Linked DNA regions of Notamacropus eugenii. The protein of the gene in region 2 purifies or fractionates together with the protein of the main gene of each other region. This does not show direct contact. Links are inferred from orthologs where the notes say so. Each region holds a gene or a part of one and is shown on either strand. Other genes may lie near its edges. The genes, in order: PELI3, MAP3K7 and RIPK2.

Evidence for each region.
Region 1: the proteins of MAP3K7 (region 2) and PELI3 purify together in Homo sapiens (affinity purification with western blotting; 3 studies listed by BioGRID and IntAct, with this or other methods). This does not show direct contact. The link is inferred for Notamacropus eugenii from reciprocal best matches to the Homo sapiens genes MAP3K7 and PELI3.
Region 3: the proteins of MAP3K7 (region 2) and RIPK2 purify together in Homo sapiens (affinity purification with western blotting; 4 studies listed by BioGRID). This does not show direct contact. The link is inferred for Notamacropus eugenii from reciprocal best matches to the Homo sapiens genes MAP3K7 and RIPK2.

Annotation. Positions count from the first base shown.
Region 1 is NC_092873.1:19,029,552-19,037,400, reverse strand, and holds the start of PELI3 (E3 ubiquitin-protein ligase pellino homolog 3), read right to left. Parts: upstream 3,013-7,849; 5' UTR 2,815-3,012; intron 2,490-2,814; exon of another isoform or gene 2,479-2,489; 5' UTR 2,414-2,478; intron 1,795-2,413; 5' UTR 1,794-1,794; coding exon 1,639-1,793; intron 415-1,638; coding exon 285-414; intron 132-284; coding exon 30-131; intron 1-29. UniProt on the Homo sapiens protein: E3 ubiquitin ligase catalyzing the covalent attachment of ubiquitin moieties onto substrate proteins. Involved in the TLR and IL-1 signaling pathways via interaction with the complex containing IRAK kinases and TRAF6.
Region 2 is NC_092873.1:164,561,806-164,568,750, forward strand, and holds the start of MAP3K7 (mitogen-activated protein kinase kinase kinase 7), read right to left. Parts: upstream 3,040-6,945; 5' UTR 2,860-3,039; coding exon 2,740-2,859; intron 1-2,739. UniProt on the Homo sapiens protein: Serine/threonine kinase which acts as an essential component of the MAP kinase signal transduction pathway. Plays an important role in the cascades of cellular responses evoked by changes in the environment.
Region 3 is NC_092875.1:164,404,385-164,412,222, reverse strand, and holds the start of RIPK2 (receptor-interacting serine/threonine-protein kinase 2), read left to right. Parts: upstream 1-4,763; 5' UTR 4,764-6,345; coding exon 6,346-6,524; intron 6,525-7,838.

The DNA.
Region 1 (7,849 bases), about 150 Mb from region 2:
GAAGGACTGAGGAAGGGGGAGAGCCATACCTGGAACATGTCTGTGTCATTGTCGTGGGTGTATTCCACGATGACCGAGTGGCTCCGAGAGAGTGTGTAGGAGATACTGTGCTGGCCCCGGTTACTCAGTGCCTGGGGAGAAGAAGGGACAATCACTCATCCAGCCCCTAGCCATGGTCTTGCTTGCATCCTTAGGAACATGGTAGGATCTACAAGGAGAGGTTACAACTCGGGAAAGAAGGGATAGGGGACAAGGAGAGATGTCAAGCCTGGGCTGTCCCTTACTTTGGACACGAGTGGGGTAGAGATATGGTGGACAACGTCAGGCTTCACCCCATTGGCCTGGGGTCTCCGGCTCAGCGCCAGGCGGCTGCGGCGGCGGCCCTTGTCTCCGCTGGCCAGGGACCCATTGTAGCTGTGGGGAAAGAAAGGCCCAGGGAGCGCTGTTCCAGTCCAGCACACTGCTGGTTCACCTTACCTTCTGGGAAGACCCTGAAATAACTCACTGAGCTGTTGAGAGCCTTGGAAACTACTTGGCTACTCTTCCCCTGTGCTCCTGCTTGCCCTGCTGGCATGATTCCTGTCTGGGGTACCACCATCCAATCGCTTTTCCTCTTCTGGAATTGGGCATCATGGTTGTCTCTTCCCATTCCTTCCTCATTCCCAGTCAGCTCTAGTAGGTCCTCAGGCTACCTCCCATCAAAGCCTTCACAATTGTCCTCCACATTATTCCCTCTGCCTCTGCTCAGGCTTGCTTGCTACCAGCCTGGCTTCCTGTGACAGCCTCCTGGCCATCCCACCTGCCCAGTGCATCCTTCAGACCACTACCAGAATAATCTTCGTTACACCCAGATCTGCTGTGTACTGAGTAAAGTTCCAATTCGACTTCCCACCCTCCCCTTTAAACACGGTTTCATCCTAAGTCCCTCCATGCTCTCCAAACTACATGCTCTGTTCCCTGCCTGCCTGCCATCCCTTCCTGGGGAAGGCCCTTCCCTCCCTCCTTCACTTCAAAGCCCAACGCTAACCCCTCCTCCTCCAGTGAACCGGCCCTGATCACCCCTGTCAGCACAGACCTTCCTTCCACCTCTCTGATCATACTGTGTCATGTCTCCTACTTCTCTGTTTTTGTGCCTAAAAGCTCCATGAAGACAGGGTCTGTGCCTGTCTCAACTTCCTTTCTCCCCATGCCCAGTACAAGGTTCTGTACAGAACAGGAAAGTGAGCACTGTTTGCTCCATTGTATGGCACTGAATTGGGAGAGAGGACCCAGGAATGCCTCCCAGAGTCCAAAGAAAGGGCCAGGAGGTTCCAAAGACACACAGAGGCCACAGCATGGGGGAGAGGAAAGAACACTGGCCTGGGAGCTAGGAGGCATGGGTTCTAGTCTTTGCTTTTCCACTTGAGAAGTGCTCAACTTTGGGCCCGGCACTCCCTCTCTGTGGACCTCAGCTTACCCCTCTGTAAAGTGAAGGGGATGAATCAAGTTCCCTTTCTGCCTCGAATGTTTTCTAACATTAGTTCCTAGCTTGGCTCTAGCTTTTCAGTGTGTTCTCTGTGGAGCTCCCTCAGGTCTTCCTGGGCACTCTCCCCTCATCGCCCAACCCTCCACCCCAGACCTCTAGCTCCAGGCCCTCACCCCAGCACGATGAGTTCCCCATATTTGACAGGCTCCTTGCCCAACAGCAAACTGTCCGAAGGAGGAGCAGGAAGGATTCGGGGGGTTTTGGCGCTGGTCTGCCGGAGGCCCAGGGATCCTGGGGTCCCCACGTCAGTGCTGCCTTCCAACACCATCCTACCAGAGATCCAAGGAGAGAGAGAGAAAGCTGCTCAGACTTCCCCCTCCACCCAGCTTCCCCCAAACAGTTGGATCCAATCTGGGCCCCAGTCCCCTGGCCTCCCCCTCTTCTGAATGGGGGACCTTTCACCTTCCCCATTACCATGGTAACACTGCCGCCTTTGCCTCCCCCAGCTGCCTAGTTACCATGGTAATGGGGGAGGGGGGATAGAGGGAAGGGGATGCCTGGACAGGGGTAGTGAAGCTCTGAGGCTCCAGAGACATGTGTCCCAGTCTGGCTCAACAGCAGAGGATCTGGGCTTCCTCCTGGACAAGATTCCTCCCCCTTAGAAGATGCTTTCCCCCTTTCTGGACACCGGGGAGTAAGAAGCCCCCAGCCCCATCGGCCCTCGGGGTCCCCCTCTTAGGCAGAGCACTTCGGGCGGTCTCTGCCCCCGGCCTTGCGGGGCTCCTCAGGTCTCTCCCCGTATCTCTCCTCGTCTCCCCATTTATCTCTGCCTCTGCCCGCCCTCAGCAGGCTACGCTTCCCCTGGGCCAGTGGTGGTCCCCCAGCCCATCTGCCCATCTGCGTGTGTGTCCCGGTGTGTTTGGGGACGCGGCGGGGGCTCGCTCTCACCCTCATCTCTCCTCCTCTGACCCTCCCGGTGCGCCCTGAGCTGAGGCTGCAGCAGACTCGCCCTCCTGCAGGGAACCTGTTTGGGAAACACAGCCACGCAGGGGACGCGCGCGGGAGGGAGAGGAGGGGGGGCCCGAGCCGCGCACCCCGAGACGGGCAGGCGCAGCCGCCGCGGGGGGGCGACAGCAGCAGCTTCGGGAGCGGGACTAGGAGCAGCCGCGGGAGAGCCGAGCACCTACGCAGATCCCCACGGGAGCCCCGGGGCGCAGAGCGTGCGCCCTGCCAGACAGCCGCGGGGCGCTGGACTCCCGGACCCCTGCCGCCCCCTCCCTCCAGGGTCCCCCCATCCCGCCTCCAGGCCCCGCCCACCTTTCTGGCCGCCCCCCGGGGTGGCCCCTTACCTAGCCCCGGGGCGCTCCTGGCCGCAGGCAGGTCCGCAGTGGCTGGACCGGGCTGGGATGCTCCGGGCCGAGCTGGGCTGGGCCGGCCCGGCGGCACCACGGCGCTGGCTCGTCACGGGGACACCCAGAGTCGGGGGGAGGGCGAGAAGGACAAGGAAGGGGAGGGGGACGCGCACCACCCAGAGCCCCGCCTCCTCCTCGGATCCCGCCCCCCTGGGCCGGGGCTCCGCCTCCTCGAGCTCCTCCTCCTGCGGCGAAACTTCGCACCTCGGCCGAGGCTCCGCCTCCTTCTGGTGGGACTCCGCCCCTCCTCCTTCCTTCCCCGCCTCCTCCGGCTCAGCTCGGGGACCCCCTTCCCTTACATCCCCCTTGTCGGTTCTTGTGTGTGTGCGTGTGTGTGATGGGGGGAAGGATGGAGGAGGAGGGGGAGCAAGGGGACAGCGGAGCCCGGGGGCTGGGTCAGAGGGTCCTGCGTGAGGACCAGGGGGCTGGAATCCCGGCTCTACCCCTTGCTCCTTCTGTAACCTCCAACTAGTAACTTCAGGGCTCTGGGCCTCCCTCTTCCCCTCTATAAAATGGGCAAGGTGGACTAACTTATCCCTACCGTTCCCTCCAGCTCTCTGGTCTTACAGGTCAAGTGGCCCCAAGGATCTGAAGCCTATGGAGGAATCGGGGAAAGCCAAGGTGGCTAAGCCAGGTGTGCTTGGAAAAGAGAAAGAGCAGCTGTCAAGGAGTGGAGTCTCATGCCTGGCCCTGCCCTGGCCCACTGGCTCTGGAATTAGAGGACCCAAATTCAAATCCTATCTCTCGTGCTCCTCCCCATGTTTCTTTGGGAAAATTATGTGATGGGCCTCAGTTTCCTTGTCTGTAAAATGGAAGGGCTTGAGTTCTTAACCAGGACACTGAGATTCCCAAGTCCATCTGTTTCTGACTAGGAGAGAGGAGGGGACATAAAACTCCTCCCCAAACCCTGGGGAGGAAACTGAGAAGCATCTTTGAAAACCCAGTCTACAGCCCACACAGGAAACAGGACCCTCCCTGGAAGTGTCAAGTCCCTCCTTCTGATCTCAGGGTAGTCATACTGAGGGTTCCTGAATTCCATCCTTGTCTGGCCCTCCACAGCTGGTCTCGAGGCCCACCACTTCTATGGTGTTTTAAGGTTTACAAAGTGTTTTATGCCTATTTTTTGAGTCTCACAACAACCCAGGAAGGTAAGTGCTATTATATCCGCATTTTGCATATGAGGAAACTGAGGTGGTTAAGTGAATGGTCTCCAAGCCAGGCTCAGCAAATGTTGATGTAGCTGAGAGAACAACATAGGTAAATTCACAGATGGCAACCAGGGCAAGGAACATTTATGTGGTAGGCTCTGGGCCTGGGGGCTGGGATGGAGGAGGGGCGAAGCTTGAACTGGTCCCTGATGACATGATACTCAAAGTCTGGGAGGGTGAGGGGACAAAGACACAGATAACTCAAACTCACAGTATCATGTCACAAATTCCTAAGTTAGGTCACACAGAGTCACAGAATCAGAGCTGAAAGTGAGGTCAGCCGTCCTCAAATGTCACCAGTGCCTAAGAAAGTATCGTCCTTTCTGGAACCCAGAGCCTTTGCACTCAGTTCTGTCCTCTGGGAGCAAGTAGAATAAACACACCACCCCCCTTTCACAGGATGGCCTTTCTGACGCTTGACCACAGTTGGTAGGTTTCCTCCTTAAGAATTTTCTTCTTAAGCCTTGGCCACCATCCCCATGTAGCCTGATCTCCTCGGCAGCACAAGGATAGGGAAGACATAATACTGGACCTGGAGGAGTTTATACAGAGATAGTACCCATTAGACCAGAGTTTGGTGATGCTTCCCTGGACACCCTCCGGTGACCTTTGGCTCCTAACATGTAGCCTCCGATGCTGCCAGACCAGGAGTTAGCATCTCCCTAGTGGTGATACCATACTTTGCAAACAATGCAACTATTCCTATCTCACTCTGGCCTCTTGCCTTAGCTCTGGAAAAAGTGAATCCACGGAGAATCTAACTTCATGTAGAAAAGATCAGGCATCTTTCACCATTCCTGTGGCTGAACCAGAGGGCAAATGGCTAATTAGTTAAGATACAGCTTTTGGGGGACCAGTAAGAGAGGCAGGAACAGATCGGACTTGGCATGTGAATCTCTCCGATGAGGTAGAAAAGAATGCTTGGGGCCTTTGGAGCAAGCTAGACGTGAGATAGGAGATAAGACCAGGAGGTGACCAGCCAGAAAAGTGACAGAAAAAGGCAATAACCTTTGTCCCTTTCCCGAAAGATTTCTCCTGCCTAGTGGTTGAGTGAGGAAATGATGCAGAATACAGACAGTGCCCGAAGGGTTAAAAATAACATTGAGCTGCTTTTCCAGGACTTTATGAAGCCCCTAGTTTACTCTGTAACCTGAAGGTTCCCTAAAGTCCTTTCCCCCTTATCTTGAGCCTGTACCAAAAGAATTGCTTTGTCTTCCTTATCCTGGGTTCTCCAGGTCCTTTAATTTTTAGTCTGTATCTCTCCCTCCCCAAATCCTTAAACCATAAAGAATTCCCTGTGTCCTTCATCCTATGTCATCCAGTCCTATCTTTAATCTTTAACGTCCATAAAAACCTCTAAAACTACAGCATCATTCTGAGACCTCTATAAAAGCATTAGCTCCTCCAGATATGGGGTCTCCCTTAGCTTTCTTGCTAAAGAGACCTGTGATGCTTTTTCATGTAAAATTAAAAGCTCCCATTGGCTAAAAGAGGTCTAAGTGAATTCTTTCAAACCTGAACCAGCTCTCCCAAAACCCTGCCTTCAACATCCCTACCAGCAAACACACAAGGTTCAGAGCAAACTTGCCCTGATTCTCCAACTACAAGCGATCCCTTCCTCTCACATCCTACACTTCTATAGTGCTCACTTCCACTCACCACAGTCAAACACAAAATTTCTTAACCTTTTATGTGCCGTAAAATGCAATCTGTTGAAGCTGACCCTTTCTCAGGTTAATGTCTTTAAATACATAAAGTAAAACAAAATACATAGAATTACAAACGAAACACAATATATCGAAATACAGATATAATTTTTTTTTTTTAAAAAGAAATCTATCTACAGACCCAGGTTAAGAACCCTGGGCTAATGGATAGTCTCTTTGTATATGACTTAAATCCTCTAATTTGTAAACTCCTCAAGGCCAGAGATCACATCTTCCTTATCCTTGTACCACCCTCAACCTTCAAGAGTGGAGCAGGGGCTGAAATATCTGTCAGATGAATGAATGAAACATTGAATGACAATTGCATTTTAATTCGTCCAGTGTTCTCCCCAAAGCCCTTCCACCTCCCCCATCCAAAATCTACCTGTCCTTCCATGCCCTTCTACCTCTCCTATTCCAAACCTACCCACCCTTCTGTGCCCTCCCACAACACTCTTCCAAACACACCCATCTCTCAAACTGAAGTCCTTTTTTCCTGATGAAGCCTTTTCCTGACAAATCACAAATCACTTCATCTGTTATGCAGACCCCACAATGGAGCATGAAACCCAATGCCCAGAACAGTGCAAACACTTAGAAAAAGCTTGTTGACTGAATAATAGCATGTTCTCTGCTGTTCTGCTGGGGAAGGTGCCCCCATTTCCCAAGATGCCAGGGAGCTGATGAACCCTGGAGGAAAGAACATGAGATGTGGAGCCTGAAAACATCGGTCTTCATTCTGGTCCTGGACCTTCCTGGCTGTGTGCCCCTGTGAGGCTGATATAACCCCTCTGCATCTCAGTTTCCTCATCTGTTAAGTGAGGAATGCTTTTGGTACTTAAATCCTGGCACCCTCTGGAGCGCCTGGATAAGCTGGAGCTAGTGGGCATGACTTTAGCACTTTCTTTCCCATAATGCTCAACAAAATGCTGCTTCTGATGTCCCAGAATGAGGATTCTGGTGAGGAGGGCTCTATAACAGGGACTTATAGGGATAGCAGGAACGAACCCAGGAAAGGAAGGAAGCTGGGCGGGAGTCTGAGGGAGAGAGGAGAGACAGAGGGCACTGTGTGGGGTCCCCAGTTCTAAGAGCTGGACCCTAATGATTCTGGAGTTAATGGGAACCACCCTCTAACCTGCCCAGAGAGACCCTCACGGCAAAAACAAAAAACTTCCAGAGGTAGACAGATCTGAGCGTTCACCACTGGGGCTGTGGGGCTTGATGGGATCGTGTCCTTCACAATCAGGGAGATTCATGGGAAGTAGATGACAATTTCCTGGGAGGGCCCTGAGAAGTCACCCCTCTGTGTATGGGGCATCATAGGACTTCAGAGTAGGAAAGCCTATGGATTCCTTTATATCTGTGATCAGCCTTAGAGGACCAGCTCTTTGGGCAGCATCTAAAAAACACCTTTACTTCCTGCCCACCCTTCAGGGTCAGTTCAGGGCAGGGCAATGACAAGAGTGAACCAAGAGAAGAGCAGGCCTGGTGTTCCCAGAGCTTAACAATGGAGAAAAATATGTAAAATGCGTAAAAAAAAAAAAACAAAAACAAATCCCAAAACCCTGCCCTCACAGGTCAGCAGGTAAGTGGCCCAGTGTCCTGCTTTTGTCCTGGGAGTGAAGGTGGCTAGTTTGGGCACTGCTCCAGGGCCCCTGGGTCCCCAGATGGCAAGCCCACAATGGACACAAAGGCTGCTGTCACTCATTCTCTGCCTCCCCCATCCTCTGTTCCCAGCTCATTCCTGCTTTCCGCCTCCTCTGTTCTCTCTGCTATTGTACCCACTCTTCCCTCTGAATGGGCTTTTTTTGCAGGCCCAAAGGCCTTTCCAGGTGCCTACTGTGTGCTCAGCTCCATAAAGTCTTTCTGGGTGCCTACTGTGCACCCAGGCCACGCAGGCACTGGGGAGGGGGGGCGGGGATGACTGGGTCCTTGCCTTCAAGAAGCCGTTAGTCCAGAGGAGAGAGGACGATTCCAGAGAAAACTCATTCCTAAGCTAGCAGGGTACCTTGCAGGTATGAAGAGAAAGACTAGAAAGAAAACGTACAATTTAAAGGA
Region 2 (6,945 bases):
GAATTCCTACTCAATTATGAGTTGGAGTAGATGATCTCTTGTCTCTTCCAACTCCCAAGATTTTGTGAGGCTTTGTTCTGCATAGCTCCAACAACTTTTCCCACTTATGTGTTTTATTTCCTGAACCAGACCTCTTAATCAAGAGAAGCTATGTCTTATAATTCTAATATAGTCTTTTGCACACAAAGTAGGAATTGAATAACTCTTGTGAATTAGTCTATGAATTTCTCCCTTTTCTATGGAGGCCTAATCACAAATTCTGTGGTAAGGACAGAATAAAAGATTTAGAATCATAAGATCTGGGTGCAAATCCCAGCTCTGCTAACTTACATACTATAATTTTTACACAAACCTTGATCCATAGACACAGAAGTTCACTGGCATAAATTTTTAAAGGAAAAAATACAATTTTTATATATGACACAAATTTTGATCTCAAAATTTATCTCTCAATGACATAAAAAAAGACTGACTTTTATTTCAAAAAAGAAATTCCTTTCAAATAACAATGGAACCATACTATTTCTTCTTAAGGGTTCTCTGGGTTTTCATAATCAATATGAATTATAAAATATTTTTCTTATGTTTTATTCACAAAATAAGATTCTTTTCTTGTCTATATGACCTCATATAGTATAGTATCTCCACTAAGTTATTCACACACATATAAAATGGAGAAAAAAAATTCTTCCATATATAATAAAATATACTTTGTTATACTATCAGTAATTGCCATTATAGAATAAGTACTGTAAAGTTTAAAAGCTGAATATGTACTTTAAGGACTGGAAACATGTCAGCTTAAGATGTGGTTCTTTAAAATGCCTCTAATACAGGAGATCATATGATCATATATTTAGAGCTGTAAGTGGACTTTAAAGGCCATCTGGTTCAACACACTTATTCTCTAGATGAAGAAACTGAGGTTCAAGGAGGTTAATCGACTTGGCTTAAAACTAGAGAGGTAGAAAAAGGACTTGAAGCCTGGGTAGGACCTCTAACTTTAGAGTGAGTACTCTTAAAAGAGTACCCAATAAATGTGTAAAATATTCAAACTGTTTAGTTAACTGCTAATGTCAATTTCCTTAAAACTTTTCAGAAATTTGTCTTTTAATATTTTTTTATACACAATTTGTCGTTTTGGTCTGAACCAACAATTTCAGTACTTTGAGGAACTCCTGGCAAGGAAAAAAATTTTTAACCAATGCAGATAGGTAGGCAAAATGTGTACCTGATCTTACTTCTAAATAGCATTTATTTAACATATGTTATAATCTCAATCACACTTCTATCACCTAGATAGACAAAAACTAATGAATTAACTTTATTACACTCCAGAAGGAAAAAGTGAAGTAGAACTGTGATTAAGGAAGGATTCAGGTTTTCTAACAATAACTTACAATCAACTTTTTTTAAAATTCTAGATCAAATTTGGATTATGCGGCATCTCTGCATAACTTTGTGATGTTTATGGCACTCTATAGACTGCATAATATACCTGATCATTAATGTGAACCATGTATGAAAACCATCTTAATCTTTAATTTTAGCAATCCCATTTTATGTTTCCTTTACATATTCACATTCAAGAATCAGTTTGATTTAAGAGAACTAAACCTCACTCTACACAACTGATTCCTTTATGAAGTGTTGTCAACACAATTTTTATAAGATCAAAGAACCTAATTAGAGGGACTTTAGAATTTTGGTAGTTTGACCACTCTTAGTGTGCAGAGCAGGAAAGAGGCTCAGAAAGATGAAATCACTTTGCAGTCAAATAATATGTAAGCATTATAAATGTAGAGAGCTAATTTAAAAGTTTACTTTCTAACAAAATGTAGTTAAAAACCCCAACTCCCAATCTCTTTTCCCCTAACTCGAAGTTTTCTATCAAAAGCATCACCATTCTGCTAGTAACCTCATTCATTTTTTATTCTTTCTTTTCGAAGGAAACCAACAACCCGAACCGCGTTGACTCTACCTCTGCATTATCCCCTATCATTTGTCTCCTCAGTTCATAGCGCAACCCTCTTTGCTCAGGCTTTCCCTTTTTCAGTAATTCATGAAATAAGTAATTCATAAAATATTAAAAATACTAAAATTTATGAATTTAGTAATTCATAAAATAATTAAATGAAATGAGCTTTAAAGCTCACCCTTCCATCTCGAAAACCTAGCATCCTAACTAACAGCTGACTTCCAGCCTATCCTCTCAAATTTGGAGTCAAAGGAGAGTCTGGTGCAAACTCCGGCCAGCACCGCTACTTCACTACCAGTATGACTCTGGAAAAGTCACCGAACCTTCCTCTGGGCCTCAGTTTCTGCGTCTGTAAAGTGAAAAGGTAGGACTAGATAATCTCAAGGTCCCTTTCAGCTCGAAAGCATAGGACCTAACTGGTCACCACTGCTTTGTGGATACAGCACTAAGCTTTAACTGGATCTGTATTAGAATTGGGGCTGGGGGAGCAGCGGAATGGGGAACTGTCCCACCACGTTCCTCGAGAGTATTGTTGACAAAGAGGGAAACTAAGTCTTGTTCTGGAAAGCCTGTTACGGAGCCTGCTATTCCCGGCATCTCGACGTAAAGCAATGAAGTACTGTGGCCAAACTTCTGCAGCGAACGGAAAAGGGCAGGCTCTCCCACCCCGCACCTCCCCGGCCCCTCTGCGGCAGCTCCAGCCTCAGGCCCACGAAGGCTCGTCTAGGGCGGGCAGGAAGGGACAAAGGCTCGGCACCCACCTCTTCCACCTCGATCTCCTTGTAGTCGATCTCTTCGAAGTGGAGGACCTGCGAGGGGGTCTCGATCATGTCACCCGCCGAAGAGGAGGAGGAGGAGGAGGCAGCTGAGGCAGTAGACATGATCCCTCTCGGCAGCCGGGGAGAGGCCGCCCCGACAGTCCGGAGGGCTGCGTCCTCCGTCGTCCGGACCGACCTTCAGCCCGGACACCGACAGTCCGGGGACCCGGGGGCCCGGGGAGCCGTGGTGGGGATAGCGGCCGAGGCCGTGTCCCGGCTCGGGCTCGACTGCCCTTTCCGGTCGGGGAGGGGAGGACCCGCCTCCTAATCTTCCGGTTCCGCTCGGAAACCGGAAGAAGGGACAGCCGCGGGTCTGCAGGACTTTGCCCTGCGGTCCCGGCGCGCTGTATCCTGGGAGCAATAAAAGAAGACTAAGGAGCGGAGGGAGCCGGGCCTTCTAGCCTGCACCTCCCGAGAGCGCCGTAGCGGGGGTGGGTGCAGACCCTCCTCTCTAGGAGGGAGATCCCGCGAGATCTGGGTGCCAATCAGAACCTAAAGCGCGAACGTCTGCTTTGCTCTTGACTGGCACCTCTGCGGAGAAGCGATCGGGACGCGTTTACTCGGGTGAAGCGGGAAAGCCTGCCTTGGTTCGGGAACCCGACTATCCCGAGTGGAAGTGACCACCGCTCTATTTCTCTCCCTAGTTTGGGAAGAAAATTCTGAGCCCCGCCCCTTGAGCACCCTGTGTGGGTAGGGGGCAGCGGCGAGGGAAGGAAGCCGAGGTCGGGGAGAGAGGGATCTTCCCTCCGCGCTGCGTGGAACTGCGGGACTCCTCCCCGTAAACTTCGTGTCCCGCCCTGACCTTCCACCGTAACTGGAGCTGCGGCTCCTGGGAGCCCGGAATGCGTTTCCTCCGTTTAATGACCTGTGACAGAAGTTAAACCGGCTGGCAATATTTATTGACCATCTGCCCGGTGGCAGTGAGCCTATGCCAGGGCTTCTGTGCCCAGGGAGTCAATAATGGGAGTAGTGCCGGGGGGCTTCAGGCTCCGTCACTGCCAGCTAGAATACTCCCCAAGTCTTAACCATACTGAGTGATTCTGTCCCGAGAGAACCCAGGTGTTCAGTCATTTCCGACCCCATTTGGGGTTTTCTTGGCAGGGGTACTGGAGTGGCTTGCCATTTTCTTCTGCTCATTTTACAGATGGGGAAGCCGTGGCAAAGAAGGTTTAGGTGACTTGCCCAGGGTCACACAGTTGGTAAGCGTCTGAGGATGCATATTTGAACTCAGGTCCTGACTGCAGTCCTGGTGCTCTGTCCCACTGCACTACCTAGCTGCCCTGTAGAGAAGAAAACCAGAGTTCAGATCTAACCTCAAACTCAACTGTAGACCATAGATTTAACCTGTTTGCCCCAGTTTTCTCATGTGTAAGATGGAGATAATAATAGCACCTACCTCGCAGGGTTGTATTGAGGATCAAATGAGAATAATTGGAAAGCACTCGGCACTTAGGAAGCTATATATAAATCTCGTTTATTACTAGGCTTACTAGGTGTCAGGCATTGTGCTAAGAGCTGGGGATACAAAGTAAACAAAAATTCCCTGCCCTAGAGCTTACTTTCTAATAAGGAGACATGTCAATCAAAAGGTACACACAACACAAATCAGCATTAAATTGGAGGGTAAAAGAAGAGAAAGATCTGGCAGCCAAGACCGCCAGGAATGATCGGAAGGGGCAATTAAATTGATACTTGAAAGAAGCTGGACATTCTAAGAGGCAAAGGTGTGGAGGGCCTTCAGATATAAAGCGCAGATATGAAGAACAGCCAGTAGGCTGGTATAGTAGGATTTAAAATGTGGAGGAGGTTAGACAGATTGGAAGAGTAGGAAAGGAACCAGGTTGTGAAAAGCTTTAGCTGCCCCCCCCCAACACCGCTCCCCCTCCCACTCCCAAAAAGGACTTTATATTTAATCTTGGAGCTAATAGAAAGCCCCTAGAATTTATTGAGGGGGAGTGACATGACAGACTTTTACTTTAGGAAGATCATTTTGGCAAATGAGTGGAGTATGAATTTGGGTGGTAAGAAATAAGACAGGTAGAGGGAGACTAATAAGGAGGTTATAATAATAATACAGGCAGGTGATGACAGCTTAGACTAGGGTGGTGGCTATATGTGAATGAAGAGCAGGAGATACACAGGAGAGATGTATGGCAAAAACCAAGATTTGGTAACATTAAATAGGTGAGTGAGTGTGGAGTAAAGGATGACACTAAGGTTATGAATCTGGCATACTGGGTGAAGTATGGGGGTAAAGATAATGAATTCTGGTTTGGATATGTGGAGTTCAAGATGCCTTTGGGACATCAGTAAAGAAGTCACAGATTGTTCTCTGCGCCGTACAAATTAGAGGATCTTAATTCCTTTGCATATTTGCTGGGAAAGCAATTGAGATCTGACCTACTTCCCCAGGCATAATCAAACCCTTGCCTTACTGTCCTATATATGAGGCAGGTACAACAAGTAGTTATTTCCTTAAATTTCACAATTAAGAAAACTGGGGCACAGAGAGGCTTAAATAACTTGCCCAGGGTCACACAGCCTGCAAATATCTGCGTTAGAACTGGAAATAGCTTTGGGTACTGGAAAGAGTTTTGGATTTTGTGTCAGATGATTTGGGTTTAAATGTAAACTGTGACATTTCTCATGTAACCTTGGACAAGTCACTTAACTTCTGTTTCAGGTTCATCCTATGTAAAAGGAAGTTTAAAGAGTTGGACTAGATACTGTCTTGGGTTCCTGCTAAGATCTAAAATCACAAAAATTTGAATACTTGGTATATTACGATGTTTAATCTGATACATTTGATCATACTGTATAACATTGGTATACTAGGTGCTTTCATAACACATTTAGCTAAGGCAGTCCTTGGACAAACACAGACCTTACTCAATTCTTATTCAAAGCCTTCCCATTTTGATAGGATCAGCTAGGGGCTTGTGTTATACTTGTTTAGTCCTTAGAAAATATAGGGTCACTATACTTGGGCAAAGGAACTGAATATTGATGTTATTGTAGTTAGTTTTCACACGGGAAGTGGTTGTACTGATCCAGAAACCTTTGTCCAACCAGTTTCTGATCACTGATGATCTTAGACATGGGGGTAGAATTTGGTTTCAACATGTTTCTTCTTGTTATTGGTGGTGGTTTTCCTGGTTCTGAGGATGTAAAGCTTAAGTGTGAAGAGATCTCAAATATAACCAGTCCAGCATTGGACAAGTATTTTCTTTCTGACTCTTGAGTGAGAATCATAGTTGAACCAGGCAGATACTGTGTTGCATTAGCTTTCATTCTTGGAGTTAACCGCATTGCCAAAAAAACTTGTATTAAAGAAACAGGTTCTGATGATGAAGATGAGGCAAATGATCAAACCTTTACGTACTATGCCAGTGATGGATTCTATGGACCATTTAATTGCATCCTGTTTGATGTTAAACCTATTCTACAGAAGAGACCCAAACTAGATGAGAAGTATTACTCTTCTAGCATATGGGGACCAACATGTGATGGCCTTGATCGAATTGCTGAATGTGGCAATTTACCAGAAATGCATGTAGGAGACTAGATGCTGTTTGAAAACATGGGCTCCTATACTGTCGATGCTGCTTAAATGGATTCCAGTGATGCACTATCTGTTATCTGATATCTGGGACAGCATGGCAATACATACAATGAAGGAAGAACCAAGGTTTCTTTTTTTCTTTTTTAAAAAAATTTATTTGTTTTCAGTTTTCTACAATCACCACATCTTAGATTTCCTCCCCTCTCCCTCCCCAAGACGGCATGCAATACACATACATTCCTATTAAATACATTTTCACATTGGTGATGTTCCATAGAAGAATTAAAATGAATGGGAGGGCAGCTAGGTGGTGCAGTGGATAGAGCACCAGTGCAGGAGTCAGGAGGACCTGAGTTCAAATCTTACCTCAGATACTTGACACTCACTAGCTGTGTGACCTTGGGCAAGTCACTTACCCCAACTACCTCATCCTGGGTCTCCAGTCATCCTGATGAATATCTGGTCACTGGATTCAGATGGCTCTGGAGGAAAAGTGAGGCTGGTGACGTACACAGCCCTCTCTCACTCAAAACAAAGTCAAGTGCAAGTCATGTCATTATTTCTCTGATGGCATGGTCTTCTTCAGT
Region 3 (7,838 bases), on a different chromosome or scaffold from region 2:
TGTGTATAGAACCACTTCAAAGTGATATGATTAATGGGGGTTATGGAAGGGAGGGGTGAAAGGAAGGCAGAGGAGGAGGTGAAGAGATGTTCCCTCCTCCAGACCTCCTGGACTATGTCTGTCTGTCTCTCATTCTCTTGGAGGGATGGATGTAGGGATGGATGGATGGATGGAGAGAGAGAGAGAGAGAGAGAGAGAGAGAGAGAGAGAGAGAGAGAGAGAGAGAGAGAGAGAGAGAGAGAGGGAGAATCCCTTTACAGAAAGAATGCCTTTAGAAATATTTACACCATATAAATCATCTCCATTTCTTTAGGGTGTTTAATTATGATAAGGAATCAACGGCTCTATCTTGAATGACCTACCTCAATCTCTACATGGCATTTTGTTAACAATATGACTACATCTATGTTGCTATACAATATTACATAATCCATTGCAGGAAAAACAGTGTGGTTATTCATGTCCTATTATCCCAATAAGCATTATGCATCATCTGCTGTCATTATTCAGCACCCTATCGTGATTCACCACAACAAATCCTCCAGACTTTCTAGAGGACACACCTTCCCCAATCATATCAGACACACTTTTGACCCACATAATATGAGCCACAATTTTACGCTCCCCTCCAAGTTGGAACTTGCATAGATGTTGCTACAGAGAACTTGTCATGTGAAGCACAGGTTTCATACTGATTTGAGCTCTACATCCCTAATTTTTATTGGCACAAAACCATGCATAATTTTAAAGAGAGATTAATACAGGTTATAGCCTGACTTCTTAAAGGAAAAATTATTTAGTTTAATTTCAGGTACTCAATAAATATTGGCTGAATTGAAGGGACCAGTGGAATATGAACCAGCATAATGGCCTGGAGTAGCTTACTGTAGGGCTCTTGTCCTGTCTAATGTTATCAAACAGGAAGCATGCTCAATCCTCATTCTCCTTGACATCTCTGCAGCATTTGATACTGTTGACCGTCACCTGGCTAGCTCTCCTCTCCAGGTTTTCAGGACAATTTCTTGCTTCTCTTCCTAACTGACTGCTCCTTCTCAGTATCCTTTATTGGATATTAGCCACAACACAGCCTCCAACTGTAAGTACACCACAAAGCTCTATCCAATATTCTTTTCTCTTCTCTCATTTCATCACCGTTTCCAAAGATAGTAGACAGAAAAGTTCTGTCCCAGAATCACAGACTTCCACGCTCCCCAGGACATGCCTCTAGCTACAGTATGCTGCCTGCTCTTCCCCTGACATGGTCTGACCTGAGCAAAGTACAGCATGACCATACACCTCCTTATTATTCTTAGAAACTATATTGCTCTTAATGCAGTCCAAGATCATACTAGATTTTCTAGCTGTCACATTACATTATTACTGATATTTAGTCTATGGTCCACCAAAACCTCCACAACACAGATATTTTAACAGAGAGCAAACAGATCTATATGAGAAACCAAACTTCTGTTAGTTCAGTTTCTTTTTAAGATATACACAAGTATACATATAATATATAATTTAATAAGATAGCAAAACTCCTGTTTATGGCCCCTTCTGCCTTTTTTCCTTCTTCAAACTACTTCCTAAATATGCTTTCACAATCTTATATTTGTGAATTTGATTTTTTTAATTCTAGTGCAATACTTTATTTCTAGTAAATTTCATTTTGTGAAATTTGACCCCAAATTCTAGCCTTCTAAGATCTTTTTAGATTCTTTCTCTGTTATTCATTGTGTTAAGAATTCTTTCCAGTTCTATGATATGTGTAAATTCAATAAGCATGTCATCTATAGTTAATCTGAGTTAATGACAAAAAATGTTAAACAGTACAAAGCTAAGCTCAGATCCCTTGGTACTCCACAGGAGACTTCCTTCCAAATTAACAATAAACCTTTAATGACAGGCCATTTAACCAGCTATAAATCCATAGAATTATACTGTTGTCTATCTCATTATCTTGCCGTCTTTTCTACAAGAATAATATGAGTCAAGCTAAATGAAAGCTAAGAACACTAACACAAAATTAGATAACATTAAAAGAGGCATTACTTCTAGCCCAAGGAGGTAGAACTCTGATCTGGTAAGACCATATTGGGAGTATTGTGATCATTTGGGGGCACATTTTAAGAAGAATATGGATAAATTAAGAATATTCAAAAGAGGAAACCAGTATGGTAAAGGGCTTTAATTTTCTGACATATGAAAATCAGTTGAGAGACCTGAGATGTTTAATTTAGAGAAGAAAAGACGCAGGAGGGTCATGACAGGTGTCAAGAACTTGAAAGGTTATCAAGAAAGATTTTTTAAAAATTATTTTTCAGTGATACAGGGTAGAAAGGAAATAGATTTTTGTTCATTGAAAAAATAAAATTTAATAAAAAAGAAAAAAGACTTTCACGTAGAAAAGGAATTCAATGTGTTTTATTTGATCACAAAGAGCAGAACTAGTAGTAAGGGTTGGAATTTTCAAAGAGGCAAATTAAGGCATGACTTCAAGAAGAAACTTCCTTACTATTGGATCAATTTAAAAGATTAATGGAGAAGTAGATAGAGCTCCAGGTGGGAAATCTGGATGATTCATGTTCAAATCTGACCTCAGATACTTATGACCTGTGTGACCCCAGGAAAGTCACTTCACCTCTGTTTACCTCAGTTTCCTCATCTGTAAAATGGGGATAATAATAACACCTACCTCCCAGAGTTGTTGTGAGGATTAAATAAGACAAAAATTGCAAAGCACTTACTAAGGTGCCTGGCACATAGTAACTCCTATATAAATGTTAGCTCTCATTTTTTTTTTAATTTTAAAAGTGAAACAGATTGACTTGAAAAGTAATGGATTTTCTCCTCACAGGTAGTTCTTAGACAAAAGCTGAGTAGCCATTTATTGGGCAAAACGTAGGAGGCATTCTTTTAAAGGTTTGGACTGGACTAGATGTTTGGTGAAATTCCTTCAAACTCTGAGATTCTATATTAAATTTTATTAGATCTACAGTGAGAATTTTAGCAGCATATTAGATGATTAGTAGTCAAATCCTTCAGCAATCAGCAGAACACAATATACAAATATTTTGTCTTTGTTTTTGTCTTAACTCATGAGTTCATCAATGTAGAGAACTCTCAGCATGCAAAATCCATCTGTAAATACAAATCATGTATATATTTTAATCTTTGAGAATTTCCCGGGGCATCAAAGGTTAGTTTAAGTTACTTGTCTATAGTTACATAACAGATATGTGTCAGAGACAAGATTTAAATCCAAATCTTCTTAACTTCAAGGTCTCTATCCTTCCTGAGGCCATTAAGGACTAGACCATCACATTCTGCCTCTACCCTTAAGATTTCAAAAATAATACAGTAAACACTGAGCGACATCATGACCAATTAGAATTTAGGCTCGTTGAAGGCAAGAACTATATTTCTTTCTTTCATTCTTTGTATCCCCAGGACTTAGCACAGTGCCTAGAACATAACAAGATGAACAAATGCTTGATGCTAGACTTGTTGACATGGCCAAAGTACTGGAGCTAATTAATTAGATGTCTGAACTTCAAGGTAGTCTGAAGCATGTTCCTAAGAGCTCAAGAAGACCATCCTGGATTTCTCTATTCCTGTGGTCTATAAGCTTTCTGTGCATAGAGGCTCCCTGGCCACATGCCACCCTGTGTCCCCCTCCAAGCCTGTCTGCCTTTGTAGGACATGGAGATATTAATTCTGTAAGATGAAGGCTGTGTCCTGGATCTGGTGTAAAGTGAGGCACCTTAGATTTTCCTTTAGGGGCCTTCTCTTAAATATTTCAAATAAATAGGCTATTGTTTAGAGTTTTGCAAAAATAAAGATGAATTTGGGTAGACCTGAAAAGGTTTAGAAGTCCAATTACAGCTCATTTCCATAAATCCTACCTACTCGAGGAGTACATGGTGATCTAGGAAAATTAAATTACAGGCTGGGGTCATAAGTAGAATTCTTTTAGATCACCATCAGCAGTGGGATATCAAGTGTGTGATAAAGCACCATCTATCAAACTATTTCTCTAAAGCAAAGCTATCAGACTGGAAGTCTATAGGCCACAAGAGGCCTAGCTGAATGCCCATTTAAGCAAATCAAAATGCAATTGAGAAATGTTTTACAAAATTAAAAAAAAAAAATACAATCCAACACAGGTAATGTTAATTTGCCTTTTTCTAAGTCAATATATGATCCTCTCTTTTTTGAGTTTGGCACGGCTGCTCTAAAGGAAAACATTTTAAAGTAGAAGAGAAGTTTAAGATTTTTGTTATAATTTTATACTTGATGAAACCAATAATGGCTACTCAACCTTCAAGTAACAGTAGTAATATGAGGATGCCTACAGCAGACAGATATTCCACATCTACAAGTCTATTGTTTAGATGATTACCTCTGCTGTTGCTGCCACATTCATCCCACAGTGGGCTCAATAGCACCTGACGATTTTGTGCATGTCATTTTACTTCTCTGGACTATGGTTTCCCCATCAGCAAAACTGGAAATCTCACATAAAGCCTCTCTCTTCTCCCTAACTACCCCAATTCCTTCCATAAAAGAGGGACAAGTAACTCATTGCCAAAGCTTGGTTTGATAGAAATACAAGATTTGAGATCTGAGTTTCCTTCTAAAGAGACAAAGTTACAAAATCCTCATCAAAGGAATGTGGGCAAATGAGAAAAAAAACAAAACAATGAGAAATTTAGTCCATCTTTTCTGTAAAAAAAAAAAAAAAATTAACTGGTCAGATTTTTTTTTTTTCCCTCAAAGGGAGGTTGCCTGGTGTAATGATTCAGGTACCCAATTTTTTCAAAGCCAAAAGACCAGAATTCAAATCCCTGACATTTATTGACACTCTGTGACCTTGGATAAGTCACTTTAACTCTCTGGGACTCAGTTTCCTCACCTCCAAGTGAAGTTGGATTATACAACCTCAGAAATCCTTTCCAGTTCTAAATCTAGACACCTACAAAAGCTGGAGCCCTGAGCAAATTCAGAGAAATGTCTTCCTTCCTTCCTTCTTTTCCATTTATCCTACTTTTATATGCTGATAGGGGAATAAAGATGAAGAGAAGGAAGAAAAGATTCGAGGGGAAGAATTAAAAGAGTAAAATGTCTTTATAATATATTATGATAGGTTTCTTTCCCTGCAGCTCCTATATCGATGGAGCAATGGGAAAGACAGTGTAGGACAAGCAATACCTGATTTCTGGGACTGGGACTTTATTATTCTCCAACACGTGGCGCCCTCCAAAAAGGTCAGAATTTATTATTTTATAAACCCTTCCAAAAACAACGTTTTCCAGTGTTTCTCACCAAGGTCTTCCATCCAGTTCAGCTGGCACTTTCTCCCCTAGCCGCCCCACCAATTCCCCCACCTCAGACTTGGCTCTCCAGTTTGGCAATTTCCGAGTTGTACGTGCAGTCTGGAATGAGAATGGAAGATCCCGCTGACCAAGCGGAAAAGAACCGGCCGGGCACACTTAGGGGTTTTCCCAAAAAGAAAGTGTGGCTTTTCCTGAAGCCAAGGGAGAGTAGAAGGAAAAAACAAAAAAAACAAAAGAGGAGTTTCCTGATCGATCGCCTCGCTTCTTTAAAACTCTAGAGCGAAACTTTTCCCCCACAGCCCATACAACGTGCGCAGCATCCCCACAGTCCTTTCAGAGGAGGAGGCGTCTTCCCAGGGTGGAGACCTGGAGGCTGGCTTCTTACGCTGAGAGGGCTGGCACGGAGCCTGAGATCTCGGAGGCACAGGGGGTGAGGGACTGAATCGGGTGATCCCGGCGCGGGAGGAGCCGGGAGGGGAAGGAAGAGGAGTGTGCGCTGAGCGGCCAGTGCCAGGATCCAAGGCTGGAGACGCTTTTAAGCTGCTGACGTAGCCTGGCAAGCTTGGGAAGGGAGGAGCAGCCGGAGCCGGACCCACACAGAGTTCGGGAGAATTCTTCAGTTTCCTCCAAGGCTGGGGGAGTAGGTCTCGGGTGGAGAGAAGCAGCACCCATTGAGACCGGAGCAGCTTCGGCGGGACTTTGCCCTCGCTTTCTGGGGAGCACCTTCGGGGCTGTGGGCGGCTCGAAGCACTGCAGAGGCTGTTTGGATTGCAGCCGGGGAGGGTTAGCGGAGTCGGGGAAAAGGGACTTTACTTTCTCAGGGTGCTAAAGGGGAGGGAGCCAGTCTCAGACCGCTGCCCTCCGGGGGGAGGGGAGAAGCACCAATGCCCGCGCTCCCGCAGCGGGAGGTGGGAGCGTAGTAGCGCTGCCAAAGCGGAACCGTCCCTCCAGAAACACCGGACTTTCGCTGGAAGAGTTGGGGCTGTCTCCTCCCGGTCTGGCTAGGAGGATGAACGGGGACAGCCTAGCCATCTCCAGCTCCTTGCCCACCATCCCTTACTACAAGCTCGCCGATCTGCACTTCCTGAGCCGGGGGGCATCAGGCACCGTGTACTCGGCTCGCCACTCCGACTGGCGCGTCCAGGTGGCAGTGAAGCAACTGCATTTCCAGTCCCCATTGCAGGAAAGGTAATGACCCTCACCATCGCGGCCCTTCCTCGGGGGCCACAGGTCTCCGCCACCTAAAGGTGCACTCCCACCACTCCGATCCTTCCCTATACCCTCTGTGGCTCGTGGATGTGGTCAGGTAACAGGCGCGCGCGCACATGCTCTCCTATGCAGGTGAGCGCCTCCCTGCTCCGCCGGGCACCTCCTCCTGAATCGGGCTGCCGTGTGATTTACAGGAGAAGCAGGTGGGAGAGGGGAGTGGGGAAAATCCAGCTCTTTTGTCCCTTTTCTTAGACCAGAATCAGATTTCAGCCCGTCTCCTAAATCCCAAACCCCACATCATTGCCACGCCATCCCTAAATGCACCTCCCTTTGCTTTGCTTTGGTTTTGTGTTTGGCCTTTATGGATATGCCATTTAAAATATATATAATTGTAAAGGTACAGTAAGGTTTTTGTTTTGTTTTTGATGGTTGTGCCTCTTGTTGATTGACTTTAAGAAATTTTAAATACCATAGCACATTAGACTTGAGTTATTCCTCCTAGTCCACTCTGGAATTGAAGTCACTGGAGGCTGGAGAACCTACCTCTCATTCTTATTGTATGTGGTAACTGGTGGGAGACTGTCTCTAATGGCCACTGGTCGATTTAAGGGAAATGGTTAAAGTTTGAGGAAACTCTCCTTTCGATTTCAGTTCCAGAAATATTAGCAACACAAGCCTTCAATTCTGTTTGTGCCAACTCTAGACATAGATGCTAGTCTGTGTGTACACTGTTCTTTCCTTTGTAACTTCACTGTACCCTACAGTCACTTTGCAGTGGTCTCACTTTCATGACCTAAACACTTTCTTCTCCCACAGAATCATAGAAGCCTAAACTTATAAGAGACATAAGCAAGTCAGCCTCTTAATTTTACAAGAGTAAAAAGGAGGATCCAGGGAAGTTAAGTGATTTGCCCAAGGTCTGATGGTGGCAGAAAACTCAGGGTTTTTATTTGTTTGTTTTACCTTCAAGGTTAAGGGACCTTTCTGCTACAAATGTATGTAGATTTGTAATATTAAACTACAGCCTAGTGAAAGACGTAGTATGTGTTTTCTTTCTAAATCCTCTTTTAAAATATTGCTCAGTCTCCGCCAGGTTCTACCTCTCAGGGCTGTCAAGATCCCCTCCCCTTGTTGCACTCCCCAACCCCCATTCCCACCTTATCTTCAACTATTAACATCTAAAAATGGGAAGTAGCCAGCTATTAAGGCTTCAGTAGCCCTCTTAGGCAGCATTAGATGCTCGGGCATCTATGAAGTTTGCTTCCTCTCACTTTTACGCTAGAGTCAAATCTG